Linked DNA regions of Elephas maximus indicus. The protein of the gene in region 2 interacts with the protein of the main gene of each other region in a pairwise test. Links are inferred from orthologs where the notes say so. Each region holds a gene or a part of one and is shown on either strand. Other genes may lie near its edges.

Region 1 (7,516 bases), on a different chromosome or scaffold from region 2:
CTGGTAAAGCAGCAACAGCGGATTTAGCAGGCAGGGAATGCTACTGCCTCTGATTCTTGTTAGGATAACAGAGTCTTATTTACTGTCTCCTGCTTGGGTCCTTCTAAGTCAGTACTGTTTTCTGTTTACTTACCCCTAGCTTTAGGCCCTGGAACAATGTTGAACATGGTGTCACTGGCCCTGGAGCCAGACAGGATCAGGGGCTCTGGAATATTTACAGTTTCCCTTCTTCTGCTTCCATAAATGAAATGGACAGTCTGAATGGAGAAAATCAGGGGCCAGCTGGCTAACAACACAACTGGCGGTGAAGCACTTGGGCTCCTTCCAAGAGCTGGTGTTTAAAGAGAGGCCATTTAAAGAGCAAATTCCAACCACCACAACAACAGTTCAGGCACTAGCTGTAGGATCCGATAGTAAGATTTTACTTAGAAAGGTTTCTATCTCCAAAGCTTTGGAACTTATCACATGCCCCTTTCTTCTTAAGAAATTTTCTAATGTTAGAGTCAATTCCTTAAGACAATCAGTCTCTTATACCCATAACAAATGGCAAATATAGAGTACACACTTCATGCGCGTTAAACAGGCTGCACCAGCATGGCCAATGTCTCATTCATCCAGACGAAATAAATAAAATGGTGAAGAAATTGAAAAGGAGAAAGAAACAAGAAATGACCTAAGAATTTAGATAGGATAGCATGGAAGACAGCCAAAGACAGTTGAACTAATTTGGGAGTTCATTACTATATTATGAGGCCAACTGACAAGAAAGGCAGATTTCCTTTGTTTAATAACATATTGCTCCAACTTTGGTATTTAAGAAAGTAAAGAAAAAATGCAGCTAGCAGCTTGGTGCTTAATTCAGTAATCTGCTTGGGGAAAAGTCACGTTGGAGCACAAGTTATCTAGGAGATAGATGCTGAAGTTTTTTCTTTCTTTTTTTTTTTTTTTCCTTAATGGGCTCTGATAAAGACAGCAGCAGACTGGCTGTTAACCCTAAAGTATCTGACAGATGACACATCAGGTATATACCTAACCCCATATTCTGAGAGACAGATTTATAATCCAAACAATTGTATACATCATGTGATTTTTTTTTTTCTTCACAACCCCAGGAAGAAGATGAGTTTGCAGGTGCCTGTGGAAAGTTCCCTATTTTTATACATACGTGCATAAATGATTGAAAAGAGAAATGGAGGAGGGATCCCGAGAAAAAGTGAAGGGTTCAGGAAGGCAGGTGTGCCCAGTAGAAGCTTCTTAATACTAGAATGCTGGAAACCGGTAAAGCCAGCAGCTAGAGACCCCCTGGGAGGCATTACCTCAATATAGGGTACGATCTTGCAGGAGAAGTCCTCTAGCAGCCACTTCTTGGTCAACTCGTGGAAGATGACGAGCGGAAGGCAGAAGAAGATGATGAGGAAGTCCCAGAAGGCCAGGTTGGCCAAGAGGGAGTTGGAGATGCTGCGCATGTAGTAGTTGTGACACACGATGCACATCACCGCCAGGTTGCCGATGATGCCGGTCCCAAAGATCACCACCGACAAACACATGACAGCGTAGGCTCCGTAAGACTCCTGGGTCAGCGGATAGAAGGGATTCTTGAGTCTCACGCGCCGGTTCGTGCTGTTTCCCCGGCGGGGTCCGCCGCGGTCCAGGACCCCTTCACTCGAAGACCCATTCTGGGCCAGCGCCCTGCCTGGAGGGGCAAGTGTCCGCCCTTCGTGCCCCGCGGGTCCACTGACAGATTTAGGTGGGGGCTCGCGGTGGGGACCCTGGAGCTTCCCGGCTCTCTTAGGCCGGTAAAAAAGGTCGCTGGTTCCGAGCTCTGTCCTCACAGTGTGCTCTTTGCTGCGCACCGAAATGCCAGGGCCCCTAGGACCTTTCCCTTTCTCCTCTGAGGTCTGCAGTAAGCGCCGCAGGGCTGTGGGATAGCCCCTCCCCAGAGCTCCTGGGGGTTCCTGGTTCCAGACACCTTTCCGCCTCCAGGTGCCAGGCGCCCTGGTCAGGGGTCCCGAGAGCCCCTTGGCCGCCGCCTCCGCCCCTCTTGCCACACCTGGGTCACCGCCCCGGGCCGCCGACAGGTCCCAGGAGGGCACCGCGCGCACCACTGCCTCCAGCTCCTCCCTCTCCCAGGGCGCAAGGGTTCGCAGAACGTCTTTTGTAGAATTTCCCGTCCCTGAAACGTCCCTGCTGTGGCTCTGGGTCAGTGTAGGTGAGCAGCTCTCCCCTACACAAGTTTCATTCCCGGACTCCGGAGCGGCCCCGAGGGCAGGAGCCGCAGAAACCTGGAGTAGCAGTAGAAGCAGCAGCCGCAAGGCGCTGGTGAGCGGAGCGCCCAGGACACGCATGGCTCCGCGTGGGCGCACCCGGCAGCGCAACTGAGGCTTAGGCTCGACACCCGCAGCCTAAGTTACTGCTGCGAGTTAAACGCATGTCACTACTCACCCCCGCTCAGGCAGTGGGGGGCCAGAGACTAAGGGGAGGTTGAAGGATGGGTCGTGGGGTCACACCCTCCCTAAAATTCTTCCTTTTTTGGCATTTCCTCCTCCAAATCCAATCCGAGCGCTGAGTACCCCCAAGGGTCCGAGAAGGAAGCCGCTGCTCCCGGTGGCTGACCTTGAAAAGTTACCACCAACACCTGACTGTTGATTAATGTTGCGCCTGGGAAAAGCCCGGACGCAGCCCCACGCTTCTCCCTGCCTTGGATGATCGCCTTCCTGGTAACAGTTGCTCTGCCTATTTACATCCTTTCGATGCTGCTTTATCCAGTTGCGAGCCGAGGTCTCCAGAGGGAAGGAAAAACAAGTCCCCCTCCCCCAGACGGCTGGCAGCCACACTCCCGCTCCCCGCTAGCTGGAAACAGGTTGCAAACAGCCAGACGCCGAGCGGATGAGCCCCGGAGACCCGCGAGGCCACTGCTGCCGAGTAGAAGCGGGGTGGGAAACCTGTGGCCACTGTCAAAGTTGCTGCTGTTCCGGCCCAAAGTTGACGCGGGGTCGGCCCGGGCGGCGGGTCCCCGCGGGGAAGAGGATCGCGGGGCTGGGCCGGCGCTGCACCTCGTTGGCCGGTGCCGGCGGCCACAGGAGCTGGTGGCCGCGACAGCCGGTGCCGCGCGGGCGGGGAGCGCGGTGCCTGGAGCCGCCGCGGGCGAGGCGGTGCATGGCCGGGAAGGGGGCGGTGGCCCGGCCTCTCCCCGCCGCCCCAGTTGCTGCGCGCGCCGGCGACACCGATGGCTCGCCTCCTCGCCGCCTGCCCCTCCTCCTCAGAGAGACGCTGGTTTGTGGGAAGACGGGATCCCCTGGTGGTTTAGGACTTACTAAAGCCACGGACGCTTCATTCAAGCCCTTTGTAGAGGCTCTCACTCGTACGAGCTGGAAGCTGCGAGGAACAAGGGCGGAGGCGCGGAGTCTGCGCGGCTCGAGGCTAGGGAATGGGCGGGACGGGTTAATTCCCCAGCTGTCGGAACCAGCCCGACTGGTCCCGGAGCCGCGGTGCCAGCGAGAGACCCACGCTGTCGCCGCCAAGCGGCGCGGCCGGTGCGCATGCCCGAGCCTCAGAACCGAGGGACTAGAAAGGTGAGGCGCTCACCTCCTTAGGTATTCCCAGGAGCTGAGAGAGGGGAGAAGGGGAGCTCTGAGGTTTCAATCACCGAAGATTAGCAGGTCCGGGGGCAGGATTTAAGAGTGAGGATGCGGATACATCATTACCTTTAACACTGAATTAGGAAGCATCCTCTAAGGCTTTACTTAGAACCAGCCAGGGCACGAAGGACGCAGTTTTGTTTGATGAAGTGGTAGGAAATGATCCAAACCAAAAACCAAACCCATTGCCGTCCAGTCGATTCTGACTCGTGGCACCTCCTGTGTTGTAGAGAAAAGCTGCTCCTTAGGTTTTTTTTTGTTTGTTTTTTGGCTGTAATCTTTACTAAGGATCACCAGTCCTTTCCTGGGTGGCACTGCTCTGTAGGTTCCAACTACGAACCTTTAGGTTAGTAGTCTAGTGCAAACCCTTTGTGTAGAAAGTGACCAAACCCACTGCCGTGGAGTGGATTCTGGCTCATAGCGACCCTACAGGAGTGGGTAGAGCTGCCCCATAGGGTTTCCAAGGCTGTAATGTTTACAGGAGCAGATTGCCACATTCTCCTCCCTCAGAACAACTGGTGGGTTCGAACAGCGGACATTTTGGTTAGCAGCCAAGCACTTAACCACTGCGCCACCAGTGTTCCTCTTAGAAAATGACAGGAGGGGAGGTATTAACTTGAACAAAACTCCCAGCGTGGCTGACCCTGCCTTCCTAGCCTGTATACCATACTCCACACCCCTGTCACAGATATGGGCTTATGGTTAATGAAATATACAAGTCTCAGACAAAATGATTAAGAGAAAGTAATAAAGGATGAAATAAACACATTTTAAAATAAAAAAGGCAACATATCTAGAGAGAAGAAAACACAATGAAAAATATGCCAGTGGTGGCAAGTAAAGGTCTCCCAAAAATGTGCACATCCTAATCCCTGATACCTGTGAATATGACCCCTTACATGGCAAAAGAGACTTTGCAAATGTGATTAAATTAAGGATTTTAAAATGGGGAGATAATACAGGATTATCCCATTAGGCTAATGTAATCACATGGGTTCTTGTAAGAGGGAGGCGGTAAGGTCAGAATCAGAGAAGCAGATGGGAGGACATAAGCAGGGGTCGGAGTGATGTGCGACCTTGAGCCAAAGAATGCCAGCAGCCCCTAGAAGCTCGAAAGGCAAGGATAAGGCCCTGACTGACCATTTTTGACTAATGACTTCCAGAAATGTAAAATAATACATCGTGTAAATGCATCAAATTACCACTGAGTTTGTGGTAATTTCCTACTGCAGCTATACGACAGCAATCCACCAAATTAATCTGAAAATGTAAACAACAGGAACAATTTTCTGAAAAATATAAACTATCAAACATAGCACAAGAAAAAAAAAATTGGAAAACTAAATAGACCAATAGCATTAAAGAAATCAAATCATTCATCAACATCTACCCACAAGAGAGCACCAAGCCTTAACAAAGTCTAAGAAATAAATACACACTTAAATAAAATGTTTCAGTGCTAAACCAAAAAAAAAAAAACAAAAAACCAGTTACCCTCCTGTTGATTCCCACTCACGGGGTCCCCATCTGTTTCAGAGTAGATCCGCACATAGGGGTTTTAAGGCCGTGACCTTTCGGAAGCAGATTGCCAGCCCTTTCTTCTGAGGCATCTCTGGGTGGGTTGGAGTAGCCAACCTTTTGGTTAGTGGTCAAGTGCTTAGTCATTTGTGCTAAACAGGGATGACAAGAAATAACACTTGTAGAAAATGTTCCAGAGCTAATCGATTCATTTTATGAAGCCAGCATAACTTTGATGTCAAAACCAGGCAGAAACACAGAGACAAACAATTATAGGCTAATAACACTATTCTTTCATAAATTAATTTAGTCATTCAAATACACTAATTCATTCCCTCAAAAGCATTTATTCATTAAACAAATATTCTGCTCAAGGTACTAAGGGTACAACAGTGAACAAAATAAAGTTCTGCTCTCACTGAATTTATATTCTCCAGGGGGAGACAGGGAATATGCAATTAAACAAATAACTGTATAATGTGTCAGATAACGCTAAGTGCTATGAAGAAAAGAACAGAAAGGGAATACAGTGCTGCATGAGGGAGGGATGCTCACTTACAAGGACGATCACTGAAAGCCTTTCCGATGAGGCAGTTTTTGAGCACTTACAAACGTAAAAGGAAACCCCGGCGGCGTAGTGGTTAAGAGCTACGGCTGCTAGCAAAAAGGTTGGCAGTTTGAATCCACCAGGCACTCCTTGGAAACTCTATGGGACAGTTCTACTCTGTCCTATAGGGTCTCTATAGTCGGAATTGACTCGACGGCAACAGGTTTGGGTTTTTTTGGTACAAACATATACACAGCAATCCAAAATAAAATTCTGACAAATTGAATTCAGCAGCATCCATTTTTTTTAAATATAGGATATATTTTTATAATTTAGCCAGTTGAAATATTTAAGGACAAAAATACATTTCAATAGATGCAGGAGAAGCATTTGGTTAAATGCAACCATCATCCATTATTAATACTGTTAACTAGAAATAGAAAAGAAGCTTCCTTAATATAAATGTCAACTAATAAAAGACAGTGAGCATTAATGTCAAAATATCAAAAAAAAATTCCCTTTAAAATTAGAACAGAACACAAATGACCTCTTCTATCATCTGCATTGTACTGAACATCCTTACCAATGAAATAAGACAAGAAAAACAAATAAGCATTGGAAAGAAATAAAATTGGCATTATTTGTAGATGAGATAAGCCTACATAAAAAATCTAATAGAATTATACATATATTTTTTAGTTCACAGATGGACTTTACCACATAGCAAGACTACTGATATAGCTACAGTATAAAACTAGCATGTTGTTGGTGCAGGGATGGCCAAATAGACAAATGGAACAGAACAGGAAATAAGGAAACATGAATAATCTTACATGGGAATTTGATATATGAAAAGAACTGCCATTACAAATGGTAGGGTTAGTTGGATTACTCAATAAATGCTATTGGAAAAATTGACAGATATATGGCAAAATTTGTATTTCCTTCTTCATTCTATATATAAAAATATATGACAGATTAAAGACCTAAATCAGAAAAGTATTTCAAATTTTTAGATGAAAACAAAAATATCATTATAACATCAGAGTAAGACAGGTAGGACTCAAAAGCATAAAAGATAAAAATAACAAATATGAATTACCTTAATGTTTTAAATTTCTGCACCAAAAAGGACATCATCAACAAAGTTCAAATCAAGCCACAGCGTGGAAGCAGACAGTGGTCCTGAAGAAATAGTGAGATCTAGTGCAGCCTACCAGGAGAAGAAAAGCCTGGCTCTAGCTGGTCTTCTAAACACACAAAACAATAATATGGTAGACGTTTATAGAAGGATCTTATGAAACAAGTACTGAGAGTGTTTGCTCAGAGATGAATTTTTGTTATATAATTGATTGAAACAAAATTATATAATTTATATTAGTTCTCATGCATGTTAACAAAACTCAGAGGTGGCTTTCACAGATGGTCCCCAAGCAGTACCCTGGTTTGGAACACACTTAGAGAAGCTTTGTTCTGGGACTGAGAGAAGTGGTTCTCATAGGAACCCCAGGCATACTGTGATCTTGAGATTATTTAGTACCATTTTATTCTTTTCTGGAGGAGGCCTGGTTGCGCAGTAGTTGAGCACTCAGCTGCGAATCAAAAGGTCCGTGGTTGGAACCCACCAGCTGCTCTGCAGAAGAAAGATATGGCAGTCTGCTTCCGTAAAGATTACAGCCTTAGAAACCCTATGGGGCAGTTCTACTCAGTCCTATAGGGTCACTATTAGTTGGAATCAAATCTACGGCAATGGGTTGATTTTGTTGATTGGTATCCTTTTCTATCAAATAAACCACATGCCACAGAGATCTTT
Region 2 (7,123 bases):
TTAAAAGTTTATACCAGTGGTTCTCAACTAGGAGCAATATCGCCATAGCTCTCAGAGGCTCTGCAAGGTAAAACTGTTGCATTAGACAGAATCTAAAATCTCTTTAGATTTTAAAAGTTTGTACCAGAGATTTTCAACCAAGGGCAATTTCACCCCTAGGAGGCATTTGACAGTGTCTGGAGACATTTTTCATTGTCACAACTGGGTGGGTGGTGTTACTGGCATCTAGTGGGTAGAAGCCAGAGATGCTGTTAAGCATTCAACAATGCACAGGGCAGTCCCCCACAACAAAGAGTTATTTGGTCCAAAATGCTAATAATGCTGACACTGAGAAACGCTGGTTTATATTGAAGTGAGACGGGTCAAAAGAAAAGGAAAAAGGCGACAGAAGGAAGAAGGGCTAAAACCCTGTTTCACGGTCTTGAGGTGTTCATAGCTACATGTTTCCCAGCTTTTCTCTCGGTGACCAGTGCCCTGTTTGCCCTCCCTTGGAATGCTGGGCTCTGTTTGAATAGATTTTTCATAAGAACATCTTCCTTATTTCCTGAAAATGTCAAGCCCTGATGCAGTACAAGGCTCTCCACTATAAGACATGGCAAAGACATAAATATAAGCAGTTCTCAAACAAGCAGAACTGAAAGGGGGGGGGGGGTGGGGGGGTGTGGAGGGACAAAACATATGCCCACAGCTCCATTTCTATGAGTCAGTGTTTCTGATGTAACAACACAGAATCATAACTGGAGGCTGAGCTGAGCTATGCTGAGAGCAGGTAGAACGGATTTGGAACACAAGTGTTAGGAGAGATACAGGTTTGTAGCAGCCGATTTCAAGGCAGGCGAAAGCGTTAAGCAATCAGCACATGTCATTCCTGGATCATTCAGCATTAAGTCACTGAGCAGTTATTACAAATAGTTACCTGTGGTTTCCAGTGGGGGAGGCAACAACACTCCAATCAAGGGGTTTTGGAGAAACAGGTGCAATGAAGTCATGGTCAAACAATTTATTTACTGTAAACTTTAGACTTTGCTCAGGAAAACAACTGAAGCTGCCCCTCAAATCCCTGCCTACAACACCCTGTTTGAGCAAATAAGAGGAGCAGGGAGAGTCCATGTTCACAGCTGAAAGGTCCGAGATACACAAGATCCTCAAGTCCAAGGGTGCAGGAAGGAACATCTCCTTCAGACGTAAATTACCAGCAGCAAAACGCTACCCCTAACACTTGACCAGTGAGGTAGATACACGGAGGAGTCATCAAAACAGCAGACCCAGGTCCTCTGGGACAAAAGCCCTTCAGACATAAACTTAAAAGTTCCATGCAAAGAGGAACTGAACTGTACAAGAAACAAATAATCACTCAAATACGCTTTCTCTTTTTTTTACAGCTTAAAAAAATAAAAAAAAGGGGCAGAAGGATTTCCTTCCTCCTGCACATCTCTATACAATTTTATTCTAAATTTATTACACTCAAGTTAACAAGTCTGTTTAGTGTTCCTTGGGGAGGGAGAAGTCTTAAAAAGTAGAAATACTGCTTACAGCAGTGAGTCATTTGTACTACAATTCCTCCCTTGGGAATCAATGCTATCGTTATGCACAGTACCTTGACAGTTCACAAAGCCTTGAGTGCCTGGAGGGTCCTCACACAGCAGTTCACTTTCTTTCTCCTGCCCCAGGTGATATTCACTCTGCTCCCCTGTGCAGTCACTTTTGGTGTGGCCGTTGTTGGAGCAGCCGTTCCCATAGGCCTTCAGAGAAGACCTACGCAGGCACAGAAGTTCCTGGAAGGCAATCCTAAAATCCGGGCTCCTGCAGTAGATAAGGGGATTGAAAGCAGAATTGGCATAGCCCACCCAGTTAAGGAGGGTGTAAACTTGCTTGGAGATGAGGTTGTCCTGGATCACATGCACAATGTTGACAATGAAGAAGGGCAGCCAGCAGAGGGTGAACGTGCCCATGATGATGCCTAAAGTCTTGAGGGCTTTGTGTTCCTTCAAGCAGAACTTGGACGACCTGCGATGTCCATGCCCACTCCGCCCATCCTGCTCCACCTGGCTGAGGTTTTGAGCATGGAAGCGGCCCTCACATTTGTCAATCTTCTGGAGCTGCCTTTTGGCTACTTGGAAGACCCTGGAGTAGACAAAGACCATGACCACCAGGGGCAAGTAGAAGGACACAACAGAGGAGGCAATGGCATAGGCTTGGTTCGTGAAGAAGTCACAGCAGGTCTCTTCGGCATAGCAGTTGATAGCTTCCGCATGGGTGGCCCGGTACCAGTGCATTTGGATGGGCAAGAAGGAGGTAAGGCCTGACACGATCCACACCATCAAAATGACCACCCGGGCTTTATTCTTGGTCAGCAGGCTCTGGTACTTGAAGGGTGATGTGATGGCAAAATAACGATCCACTGCGATCACACACAGGGTCTCGATGCTGGCAGTGACGCACAACACGTCAATGGAAGTCCAAAACTCGCACCAGAAATTGCCAAAACTCCACATTTTCATGAGGATGTGGCTGGCCCCAAAGGGCACCACCGCCAGGCCCATGACCAAGTCCGCACAGGCCAGCGAGGTGATAAAGTAGTTGGTGACCGTCTGCAGACGCTCAAACTTGGCGATGGCCGTGATGACCAGCACGTTACCAAACACAATGGCCAGGACGATAAGCGACATGACGATGCCCATGCCCACCACCCACGCCTCGTCCCGTTCTTGCGTGACGTTGTGGTGCGGCTCGTGGCTTCCGTTGGGCGCAGGCAAAAAGACGCTGCTGTTCCCGGGTTGCCCCATGGCGCGTAGGCTGGCAGGTGAGCGCACTTGCTGCAGGCGCACTGGTCGCGCCTCAGCTGGCGGACCCCCGGCGGGGCGCTGCGGGCCGCGAGCGGACGCCTGGAAGCCTCATTCAGCGGCCGTGGGGTGGATGCAGTGGGGTGCGTCCCTCACATTCAGCTTTGCGGGGTGCCCTGGGCTCGCTGTGCCCGTCAGTCGCAGCCAGCGCCCTGCAGGAGCCGCCTCTGAGTCCGCCCAGCCCGTTATGTGCACAGGACTTTAGGGGAACTGCCCTCTCCGTGACGTGCGTCAACTTTCCGCCAATGGCGCGCGGGCAGCCCCGAAAGGGCGAGGCCCCCCTCCCTTCCCGCCCCTAGCTCTCCCCCTCCTGGCCTGGCTCGGGCGGGGCTCAGCTGCTACCCTTTAGGCGGGCGGGCCACCACTCCCTGCCGGCTACTCCGGGCTGCACCCAGAATGCTAAAGCTGGGTCCGGCGTGCTTAACAGCCAACCTAGGAGCTTTGGGCTCTCATATGGCTGCTACCTCTCTGTCCCGGGAGCCTGAACGCAATGAGGTCTTAGCGCAGCGGGCAGCACACCGGCAGTCCCCGACGTGCGGAAAAAGAGACTAGAGTGCCCACCGAGACACGCACGTACAGGCACAAATGCACCCCGACAGGCATGCTCAGACTTATACGGAATCACAGCCACAGACACGGAGACACACCCGTCTAGCGCACCAACATGCACACGCGCGCGCGCACACACACAGAAGCAGACAGGCACAATGTCACCTCTGTCCAACACAGAGGCGAGGCCAAAAGCAAACACAGAAGTGCAAAAGCGTGGTCGCACACAGAAAGAAATGAACCCACAGGAACACGCAGAGACATGGAGAGCGACCCAGACACGGTCGTCCCTGTCCCTACTCACAAACCCCCCCACTCAGGCATTTATAAATGCAGCCCCCACCCCTACTTCCACGCTCCCCGCACACAGACACCCAGCATATTCCTTTTTCAAACATTTGGCAAGACCACAGGAGGTGACTTCAGCAGCTGCCGATTTCCTCAGTACACTCGCTGTCAAGTACTTTTGGTGCCCTCCTTGGGAATTTTGTGGGTATTGAGACATAATTTTACTCTTTGGATTTCATTCAAACTGGGGTCTTCACGTATGTACTTGGGGGTGGAAGGAGAAAGTTGTATGCTTTTGTTTTTAATTCTTGGGAATGTGGCATTATTCCCTCATTATCTGTTGGAATGAAAATGTATTGAAAATGGGACCATTTGCATTTCAACATGGACTACTTCAGTAACCTATTGCGAAGAAAAAAAAATCTTTCATTTGCTCTATAATTTATTTGTTTGAACCATATGAAATTGCCAATATTTGGATGTGTTTGACCCACAAAATGGCAATTTCGTATGGCTCAATCTATTTAGAATGTGCTGACATTAAGAACATTTTGAAAGTACAGAAAGCAAAAGATAATTCTTCCTTGTTACAAAAATAAAAATAAAAAGCAGACCAGTCTTAGAACCAAAGTCTTTGTCCACAAAATACTTTGCTTTGGCATCTGGCATATGACTTTACTGTTATGAAAAAATTAATGCCCAGTGTTTGATTTCATACGTATCAGTATGTCTTTAAAAAATGGAAAGTATTTCATGCAATGTAGTCAAACATACTTTGCAGATTACATAATAAAATAACAATGGATAACATTTATGGAACATTTCCTATGAACTATTCATACATTATTCCATTTAATCCTTCCTACAATCCGGGGTACTATTTTTAACTTAATTCACACATGGGCCTTAAAGAGCGAAATAGCTTGCCTAGAGGCACATGGCCAGAGGCAGGATTTTAACCCCGCTTTGTCTGGCTCTAAAGCCATCTTTTATCTTTTCTGCATACCGTATCATTACAGGAACCCTGGTGGCATAGTGGTTAAGAGCTGGGCTGCTAACCAAAAGGTCAGCAGTTCAAATCCACCACCCACTCCTTGGAACCCCTGTGGGGCAGTTGTACCCTGTCCTATAGGGTCACTATGAGTCGGAATCAACTCGATGGCAACAGATTTGGTATCATTACGTGCAGAAAGGAGTGCAAGATAGGGAAGAAGCATTGCAACTAGTATTAGAATACACAGATTCCAGGTCTACCTGTCTTGGAACTTTCTAGCTCAACTTTCCTTTGGATCTCAGCTGCTACCAAAGAGGTCAATAGTTTGAATCCACCAGTTGCCCCTTGGAAACCCTATAGGGCAGTTCTACTCTGTCCTATGGGGTCTCTATGAGTTGGAATCGACTCAACTGCAATGGGTTTGATTTTGATTTGGTTTTCCTTCGGCACATTACAAAGATGAAGCCTAATTTCATCTGCCTCTACAGAGGGAATAAAGTAACTTTTTTCTGTTGTTATTGGATTCAGTGAGAATCAAATGGGTTATAAGTAATATTTATATAAATTATTTCGTTTAGCATATACTGTTAGTCTCCTCTACCAGACAATAATTCAGGACGAAAGTAAGTTGAGTGTTTACTGTAGAAGCAAAGCTCAGAGACAGTATTCAACTTACAAGTTCCCTTTAACTTCTTTCAATAGCAGAAGCTGTTTCTCTAAGACAGATGCCTTAAAAAAAAAAAGCACATTTCCCATATAAGCCACAGATATTAATTAAGGATCTATTATGTTCCTATGGTTTTCAAAACATACCCACCTCATATTTATGTTTTCCACAATTGGCTCTGGTCTGATGCATTTTAGGAAGAGGCAGTGTCTGTTATGTAACAAAGTTTCCTTAAATATACATCTACTCCAAATTGTGGAACTAAACCATTTAAAACCTCCTTCCTGTTTGTGAAACTATGGAATAAATAAGCATATTGTTTAACTTTCACATACAAGAAAAGGAACAAAGAAAACCCTTTTAGAACAAACACTAATCGATCACTTAGATATACACGTAAGTCACTTAAAAATTTAACTGAGTATTTTGGGAAATACGTTTTAAAAACACCACAAACGCTAAATCGAGAAGGGGAAATTGCTTATGTCTACTAAGAAGTTCCAAGCCCTTGCCCACCAGCCTTGCCAACTGGATTATTTCTCTCTCTCTCTGCTGCATCACCAAGCTGGTAGGAATTTCGAGCTGTTGTCTTCTTGCCAAGAGTCTTTTCTCCTGACCTCCTTTTCAAATCATAGGATTAGAAGAAGGTTAGAATTAAAAAAGGGTTTAATAGATCATTTAGCTTATTGCCTTCAGTTTGCAAATAAGGAAACTGAAGGGCAGAAAAGTGAAGTGTCTGGTTCAAAGTGGCAGGGCAAATTAGGAGTCTAGGTCTGCCTCCTGGCCTGGTATGCAGTTACTGCCCGGCGCTACTGTTCCATTTCCCAGCAGAGGAGTCTGACAAGCACTGCTTATTGTTTGTGCTCATGGCCTTAGAGAGTTAATGCTGCAGTTGAGCTGGGAAGTTCTTAGTAGATTAAATGCACCTTTATCTGCTATAAGAAAAAGCAGGCTTTTTTATGGTGATTGATAGTGTCTAATTACATATTTTGTCAATCCCTTAAGAGACTGATTTGTAGCTTCCTGCCTGCCAAACAGGCAAACACATGAACACAGACACACATTTTGACTGACTTAATGAATTATTTAAGAGTAAGGCTCTGTGGTGCCTAGTAGCTTTCCTTAATTGGGCTTCTGCTAGAGAATCAAACCTTAAAGAAAATTATTAGAGTGACTACATTTCTCAATTCTCCCAAGGATGATACATAGCTTCGTTGGAACAATGACCATCTAGGGACATGAGAGAAGTTAAATCATTACACGTAATGGGTATCTTAGGCCATAGTGCTTAATTATCTTGTTGAGAATGTCCTCCCACGAAAGGCTGAATGGATTAGGAAAACTTATCCTGTGTCTTGGTTTAGACAAGGTCCCTCCCATCTTTATGATTCTTTGAGCAGAGAGACGTCTGTAGATTTCTTTCTAAGTGATTATTTTAAAGGTCTGTCTTTAATATTACCTTCCTAAAGAGGTATCTATTAAATGAGATTAAATGCATGTAAAGTGCTTAGCACAGTGCCTTGGAAAAGAGATAGCTATTAGTGTTATCTTGTTTTTGAATCAAAAAATATGCATAGAAAGCATATTTGTCTTATCTGTTCATATGTGTGAAAGGACACTTTGAACATGGATAATGAGTAATTTGTTTTTAATTTGAATTGCCGGAAAAAATAATTGAAAAAAGGAGCATAACCCAGATCCTTAGAAAGGAAAGAAGAATGATTCTGAAAATTATCAATGTCATTGAGTTACATGGCTGGGTGCGATGTTAGTGATTTTTGA
Region 3 (6,932 bases), on a different chromosome or scaffold from region 2:
ATTAATTTGTAGTTTCATTCCATTGTGATTGGTAATAATACTTTATATGATTTCAATCTTTTTAAATTTATTAAGACTGATTTTGTGGCCCAATGTATGATCTATCCTGGAGAACAAACCATATGCATTTGAGTAGAACGTGTGTCTGCTATATCTCATTGGTTTATAGGGTTGTTCAAGGCCTCTATTTCCTTACTGATCTTCTCTTAGTCTGTTCTATCCATTATTGAAAGTGGGGTATTGAAGTCTCCAATGATTATTATAGTTGTCTATTTTTCCCTTCAAATCTGTCAATTTTTTTCTTTATATATATTGTGGGTTCTCACACCATACACAAAAATTAACTCAAAATAGACTAAAGACCTACATGTAAGAGCTAAAATTATAAAACTCTTAGAACAAAACAGCAGCAAATCTTCATGACCTTGGATTTGGCAATTGTTTCTTAAATATTACAGTAAAACCCAAAAAACGCTTAAAAAAAACACACAGGCAAAAAAAGAAAAAGTAAATTGGACTTCATCAAAATTAAAAACTTTTGTGCATCTAAGGACACTACCAACAAAGCAAAAAGACAATCCACAGATTGGGAAAAAATACTTGGATATTATATATCTGAGAAGCATTTAATATCCAGAATATATAAAAAATTCCTACAACTCAACAACAACAAAAAATCCAATTTAAAAATGGGCAAAGGATTTGAGCAGACATTTATCCAAAGAAGATATACAAATGGGCAATAAGCACATAAAAAGATGTTCAACATCATTAGTCCATCCAAACTCATTGCCGTAGAGTCAATTCTGACTCATAGTGACCCTATAGGACAGAGTAGAACTGACCCATAGGATTTCCAAGGCTGTAATCTTTATGGAAGAAGACTGCCACATCTTTCTCCCATGGAGCAGCTGGTAGGTTCAAACTACTGACTTTTTGGGTAGTAGCACTTAATCTACTAGGCCACCAGGGCTCCTTCATTAATCCTTAAGGAAATGCAAATCAAAACTATGATTTTGATTTGCTTATCAGTTACCAAACCAAACCAAACAAACCTGTCGCTTGTAGTGACACTATCTGCCCCATAGGATTTCCAAGGAGCAGCTGCTGGATTCAAACTGGTGACCTTTTGGTTAGCAACCATAGCTCTTAACCACTGTGTTACCAGGGCTGCCATCAAATGGATTCAACTCTCGGCAACCCCATCTGTGTGACCGTAGAACCTCCATAGGGTTTTTAGTGATTGATTTTTTTTGGAAAAAAACCCTGGTGGCTTAGGGGTTAAGAGCTATGTCTGCTAACCAAAAGATTGGCAGTTTGAATCCACCTGGTGCTTCCTGGAAGCCCTATGGTGTAGTTCTACTTTGAGTCGGACTTAATGGCAACAGGTTTTTTGGTTTGGATTTTTCTGAAGTAGATCTCTAGGCCTTCTTCTGAGGTGCCTCTGGGAGGACTCATCCTCCAATCTTTTGGTTAGCAATTGAGCAGGTTAACTGTTTGCATCATTCAGAGACTCCTCACACCCACTAGGATGGTTATTATAAAGGAAAAAAGACGAAACTAAAACAACAGACAATAACAAGTGTTGGAGAGAATGTGGAGAAATTAGTGTCTTTGTGCATTGCTGGCGCAAATGGTACAGCCACTGTGGAATATAGATTGGCAGTTTCTCAAAAAGTTAAACAAAGAATTACCACATGATCCAGCAATTCTGCTCCTAGGCATATACGCAAAAGAACTGAACGCAGGAATTAAAACAGACACTTGACATCGATATTCATTGCAGCATTATTATTCACCATAGTCAAAAGGTGGGAACAACCCAAGTGCCCATCAACAGACAAATGGATAAACAAAATGTGGTATATACATACAAGGGAGTACTACTCAGCCATAAAAAGGAATTTAGTACTGATACATGCTGCAACATAAACCTTGAAAGCATGCTAAGTGACACAAAAAGACAAGACGGTTTGATCCCACTTACATAAAATATCTAGCATAGACAAAGTCATAAAAGCATCAAGTAGATTAGAAATTACCAGAGGTGGAGGGAGAGGGTAATGAGTTATTGCTTAGGGGGTACAGTTTCTGTTCAGGGTGATGAAGAAGTTCTGCAATTAGTAGTGATAGTTACACAATATTGCGAACGTACTTGATGCCACTGAATTGTACACTTAAAAACGGTTACAACGGTAAATTTTATGTTCTATGTATTTTACCACAATAATAATAATAATAAAAGCAGCAGCAATAATTCATACTGCAGGTGGAAAGGGTTGTTTGGTCGTTTTCGTGGTTTGAACAATATCCTCTTTTTGTGTTCAGACATGATTACAGAATGGTCTTTTTCTGGATCCATCAATCAGAGAGTGGCTTTGTCTGATGTTGATGCTCTGTGAAACTGTTTATGCTCAACAGAACAACACCACAGCCTAGCGATGAGTGCAAGGCCAGCTCCTAGCAACACCACAGCTTCTAGAGGCACAGTGCAAACCAACTCCCAGCTGTCAACAGCTGCTTTTTTCTCTCTCTAGCTACACTTGAAAAACCAGAATTAGCAAACTGTTTTGGTAGAACAGAAACCCTGGTGGCATAGTGGTTACGAGCTTTGCTGCTAACCAAAAGGTCAGGAGTTCAAATGCACTAGGTGCTCCTTGGAAACCCTACGGGGCAGTTCTACTCTGTCCCATAGGGTCACTATGAGTCGGAATTGACTTGACGGCAACCGGTTTGGTTTGTTTGTTTTTGGTAGCATGGAGCCCTGGTGGCACAATGGTTAAGAGCTTGGCTGCCAGCCAAAAGTTGGCAGTTCAAATCCACCAGCCACTCCTTGGAAACTCCGTGGGGCAGTTCTACTCTGTCCTATAGACTCACTATGAGTCTGAATTGACTCATCGAAAATGTTTTTTTGTTTTTTTTTTTTTGGTAGAACAGGAGCCCCCGTGGCACACTGGTTAAGCATTTGGCTGCTAACCAAAAGGTCAGCAGTTCAAATCCACCAGCTGCTCCTTGGAAACCCTATGGGACAATTCCACTTTGTCCTATAGGGTCACTATAAGTCAGAATCGACTCGACAGCGTTTTTGGTTTGGTAGACTATGAGCTCTCCAAGTCACCACAAGCCCCACTATTTCCCAAAATCTTATAACTGGCTAACTTCATTTATTTACGTTCCTGCCTGTCCTCTGCAGGCATTTAAATTTGCATCACCTTACTAAGCAAAAAAGAAGCTAACCACGCCCAGAGACAAGCGACTTGTCTAGCATCACTCTGTGAACTGGTGGCTGGATTGAAACTAGAACTCTGTCTTTAGTTTTCCCGCCAGTAAATCCCCCTGCTAGACATTCAGGTAATTGTTATCCTCTAAACTGGATGCTGATTAGGTCTGAAAATAACACTTCTCACCACATTTTGTCAACATTGTGTTCCTATTTCATTTCCTCTTTCGTGATTGAGTAATCTTTTACAGGCACTAGGTCTCATGACATTATCTGGGATTCTAAGGTCCTTGCTCAGCTACCCTGACATTCTTTCTGCTCCTCAAATACTGTGTGACAAGATTGTGCCTGCCTAGGGACCTTTGTATTTGCCGATCCCTCTGCTTGGAACTCTCTTCCCTCACATCTCCACTTCTCAGTCCCAGCTCAGAATCACCTCCTCAGAGAGGCCTTCCCTAAGGGACCTACCTACTCACACCCTTCAGGCCAGGTGCGGATTAACCAGTAAGCAAGGTACGCATAGACTTACTTGTGCTTATTCACTAATCTGCAGTGCACAATTTCACCAGTGAAAACCAGGTGAAATTGTGCACTCCAGATCAGACAACACAAGTAACCCTGAACGTTGTTTGGTTGCTGGGTAGTCCGTCCCTGCTGCAGGCTCTAGCACCCCTGCCACCTTCTCTAGGAGACCAGCCTCTTTCGACTTCCTTTAAGAGCCACCGTTGGTGTCCCGTTCGCAGTTCTCATCGCAGCCTGTCAAGCGCGTGAGTCTGGGAGGCGGGAAACCTTGCCCAATCCCCTTCCCCTCTCTGGGCATCCATGTTCCCTTCAAGCCCGGGAAGCGGACTGAGATCAGAGACACAAACGCGGGCGGGAACGTAGTATTCCACGTCAGGCAAGCTTATCCTGGGTGCCTTCTCGCTCTGGTTTCCCGGACTCGCGAGAGGCCCCCGGCCCTGAGCTGCAAGCACCGGAACCCTCGCTGGCCCCCGGCGCGCAGCCCTCCAGAACCACTACGCATGCTCCGCACTCGGCTCCCCGCGGTCAGGGGCGGGGCCTTGACGCGCCTGCGCAGATGCTGGGCTCCGGTTTCCGGGCCTGGCGGACGCGGTCAGGCTGAGGACCAGTGTCGCCTAGTAGCGGTGGCTTGTGGCCGTGTGGGCCGAGCGCTCTGGCTCAGGGGCCGGGATCAGGGAGTCTTTGGCAGCGGGCCGCAGGGCGCAGAGAGAGCCCGGGATCGCCGCCCACCGCCACCACCTGGCATGTCGGCCGAGGCCTCGGGCCCGGCGGCGGCCGTGGACCCGTCACTGGAAGTCGCGAAGCCCTCGGGTCTGGAGCCTGGCTCCGCCGCCTACGGTCTCAGTCCGCTGACCCCGAACAGCAAGTACGTGAAGCTGAACGTGGGCGGCTCGCTGCACTACACCACTTTGCGCACCCTCACGGGACAGGACACCATGCTTAAAGCCATGTTTAGCGGCCGCGTGGAAGTGCTCACAGACGCTGGAGGTATGCACGCCGCCCTTGTGCCATGCTCCGTTCCCCAGATTCCTTCCCCCCGACTCTTCTCGTCGCCCAGTCTCCCCACGCCCCTTCTCTTGTGTGCAGTCCAGTCAACTCATTCTCGCCTCTCTCCAGCCCCCACATCGCACTTCATCTTCCCTTTCTCATTCATAATCTCCCTCCTTCTCCTATCCTTTACCCCCAGCAGTAACCAACACTTACGGAGCCCCTAGCCCTGCAGGCGCTGCGGTAAGTCAGTCCTCATTCCACCACGTTACCCGCTTCCGCCCCCATTTCTCCTACCCTTCACCGCTCAGCTCCCGCGACTTGGGAACCAGCCTTGTTGCCAGCAGCACCCCCTCCAGGCCACCTTCATCAGTTTCTTCCAACTCCGCAAGCATTTGTTCATCTATGCCTGGGCACTGCTAACACCAGCCTGGAGATCTTGTCTGTCTGTGTCTTCCTAACACAGGTTCCTATACACTTTAGGAATCTGTCTGTAAATGCAGATTGTAGAAGGAGAAGGCTGCTTTGGGTTTGCCAGGGACCCTAGATTAAGGGTGGACAGTTCTCCTTGGCAGTTACCTTACCATTCATTCAGATTTGGGCCTCACTGCCCAGGTAGGACATTAAAATTTGAGGGGAGGGTGGAATTCAGAAGAGGTTGACAAGAATTGTGAGAGCAGAAAAACAAAAGTTGGGGAGGTGGCACACAGAAGGTGAATAATTCATTTACTCAAGTATTTGTGAAGTGTCAGTTAATGCTGGAGATACATTGGTAAAGGAATCTGACAAGACTCCCATGGAATTTACATTTTTGGAGAGGAGGGACAATAAGCAAGTAAACTATATATATATATATATGTAACTGCAGATAGTAATACATTCTGTGAAGACTGTAAATAAAAGTTAAGATGGTAGCAGCCTGGAGGGTGGGTATAAACAGAAAAACCAAACCCAGTGCAGTCGAGTCGATTCTGACTCATAGTGACCTTATAGGACAGAGTAGAACTGCCCCATAAGGTTTCCAAGGAGCGCCTGGCGGATTTGAAATGCCAACCTTTAGGTTAGCAGCCATAGCAGTTAACCACTATGCCACCAGGGTATAGACATTGTAAATGGGATGATCAGAATCAACAAGACAGGTTAGAAGTTTACTGATAAGGTAATTCTATAACAGTTTTCTCATGGCTGAGAACCTTCTGACCACAGAATACACTTGGAAGGTAATTGATTCGCTGTGGCTGGAAATGTTAAAAGGGGTCTATGGGACTGAAGATGTTTTAAAGGATTTTCTTGAATGTGACAAAAGTTTGGGGCGGATCAGAATTCAGACTTCCTTATAACCTTGGAATCCTTTTTTCATAAAAAACATAGTAGTTCCAAGGCCCCCCAGCAAAGTCATCCTTCCTCCTGCCTCCTTCCACCCTACCAGGTTGGGTGCTGATTGACCGGAGCGGCCGCCACTTTGGTACAATCCTCAACTACCTGCGGGACGGGTCTGTGCCACTACCTGAGAGTACCAGAGAACTAGGGGAGCTACTAGGCGAAGCACGCTACTACCTGGTACAGGGCCTGATTGAGGACTGCCAGCTGGCCCTGCAGGTGAGGGCCCCTCCCCTACCTCCTGAGTCCCACGCCTATGCCCATGGCCCTGGGAGAGCTACCCACTACTGTCGAGTCAATTCCGACTTATAGTGACCTTATAGCGCCGGGTTGAACTGCCCCATAGGGTTTCCAAAGCTGTAATCTTCGCGAAAGCAAACTGCCACATCTTTCTCTTTCGGAGTGGCTGGTGGGTTTGGCCAACTAACCTTTTGGTTAGCAGCCAAGTGCTTTAACCACTACGCCCCCAAGTTCCCTTTTTAGATTTAAGAAAAAACAAAACTGTACCCGTTGCCATCAAGTCGATTCCGACTCATAGCAACCCTATAGGACAGAGTAGAACTGCTGCCCCATAGAGTTTTTCAGGGAGCGCCTGGTGGATTTGAACCACTGACCTTTTGGTTAGCAGCTGTAGCACTAAACTACTACGCCACCAGGGTTTCCCCTTTTTAGATATTAAACCCAAAAAAAAAAAACCATTGCCATTGAATTGATTCTGACTCATAGCAACCCTGTAGGACAGTAGAACTGCCCCATAGGGTTTCCAAGGCTGTAATCTTTACAGAAGCAGACTGCCACATCTTTCTTCCCAGAGTGGCTGATG

The links.
Region 1: the proteins of ADRB2 (region 2) and GPR37 interact in a protein complementation assay, tested with the Homo sapiens proteins (2 studies listed by BioGRID and IntAct, with this or other methods). The link is inferred for Elephas maximus indicus from reciprocal best matches to the Homo sapiens genes ADRB2 and GPR37.
Region 3: the proteins of ADRB2 (region 2) and KCTD13 interact in a protein complementation assay, tested with the Homo sapiens proteins (2 studies listed by BioGRID and IntAct, with this or other methods). The link is inferred for Elephas maximus indicus from reciprocal best matches to the Homo sapiens genes ADRB2 and KCTD13.

Annotation. Positions count from the first base shown.
Region 1 is NC_064826.1:25,080,433-25,087,948, reverse strand, and holds the start of GPR37 (prosaposin receptor GPR37), read right to left. Parts: upstream 3,081-7,516; 5' UTR 2,346-3,080; coding exon 1,317-2,345; intron 1-1,316.
Region 2 is NC_064820.1:163,838,349-163,845,471, reverse strand, and holds the start of ADRB2 (beta-2 adrenergic receptor), read right to left. Parts: upstream 3,015-7,123; 5' UTR 2,787-3,014; coding exon 1,598-2,786; exon of another isoform or gene 917-1,597; intron 1-916. UniProt on the Homo sapiens protein: Beta-adrenergic receptors mediate the catecholamine-induced activation of adenylate cyclase through the action of G proteins. The beta-2-adrenergic receptor binds epinephrine with an approximately 30-fold greater affinity than it does norepinephrine.
Region 3 is NC_064830.1:89,343,244-89,350,175, forward strand, and holds the start of KCTD13 (BTB/POZ domain-containing adapter for CUL3-mediated RhoA degradation protein 1), read left to right. Parts: upstream 1-3,889; 5' UTR 3,890-4,242; coding exon 4,243-4,729; intron 4,730-6,158; coding exon 6,159-6,328; intron 6,329-6,932. UniProt on the Homo sapiens protein: Substrate-specific adapter of a BCR (BTB-CUL3-RBX1) E3 ubiquitin-protein ligase complex required for synaptic transmission.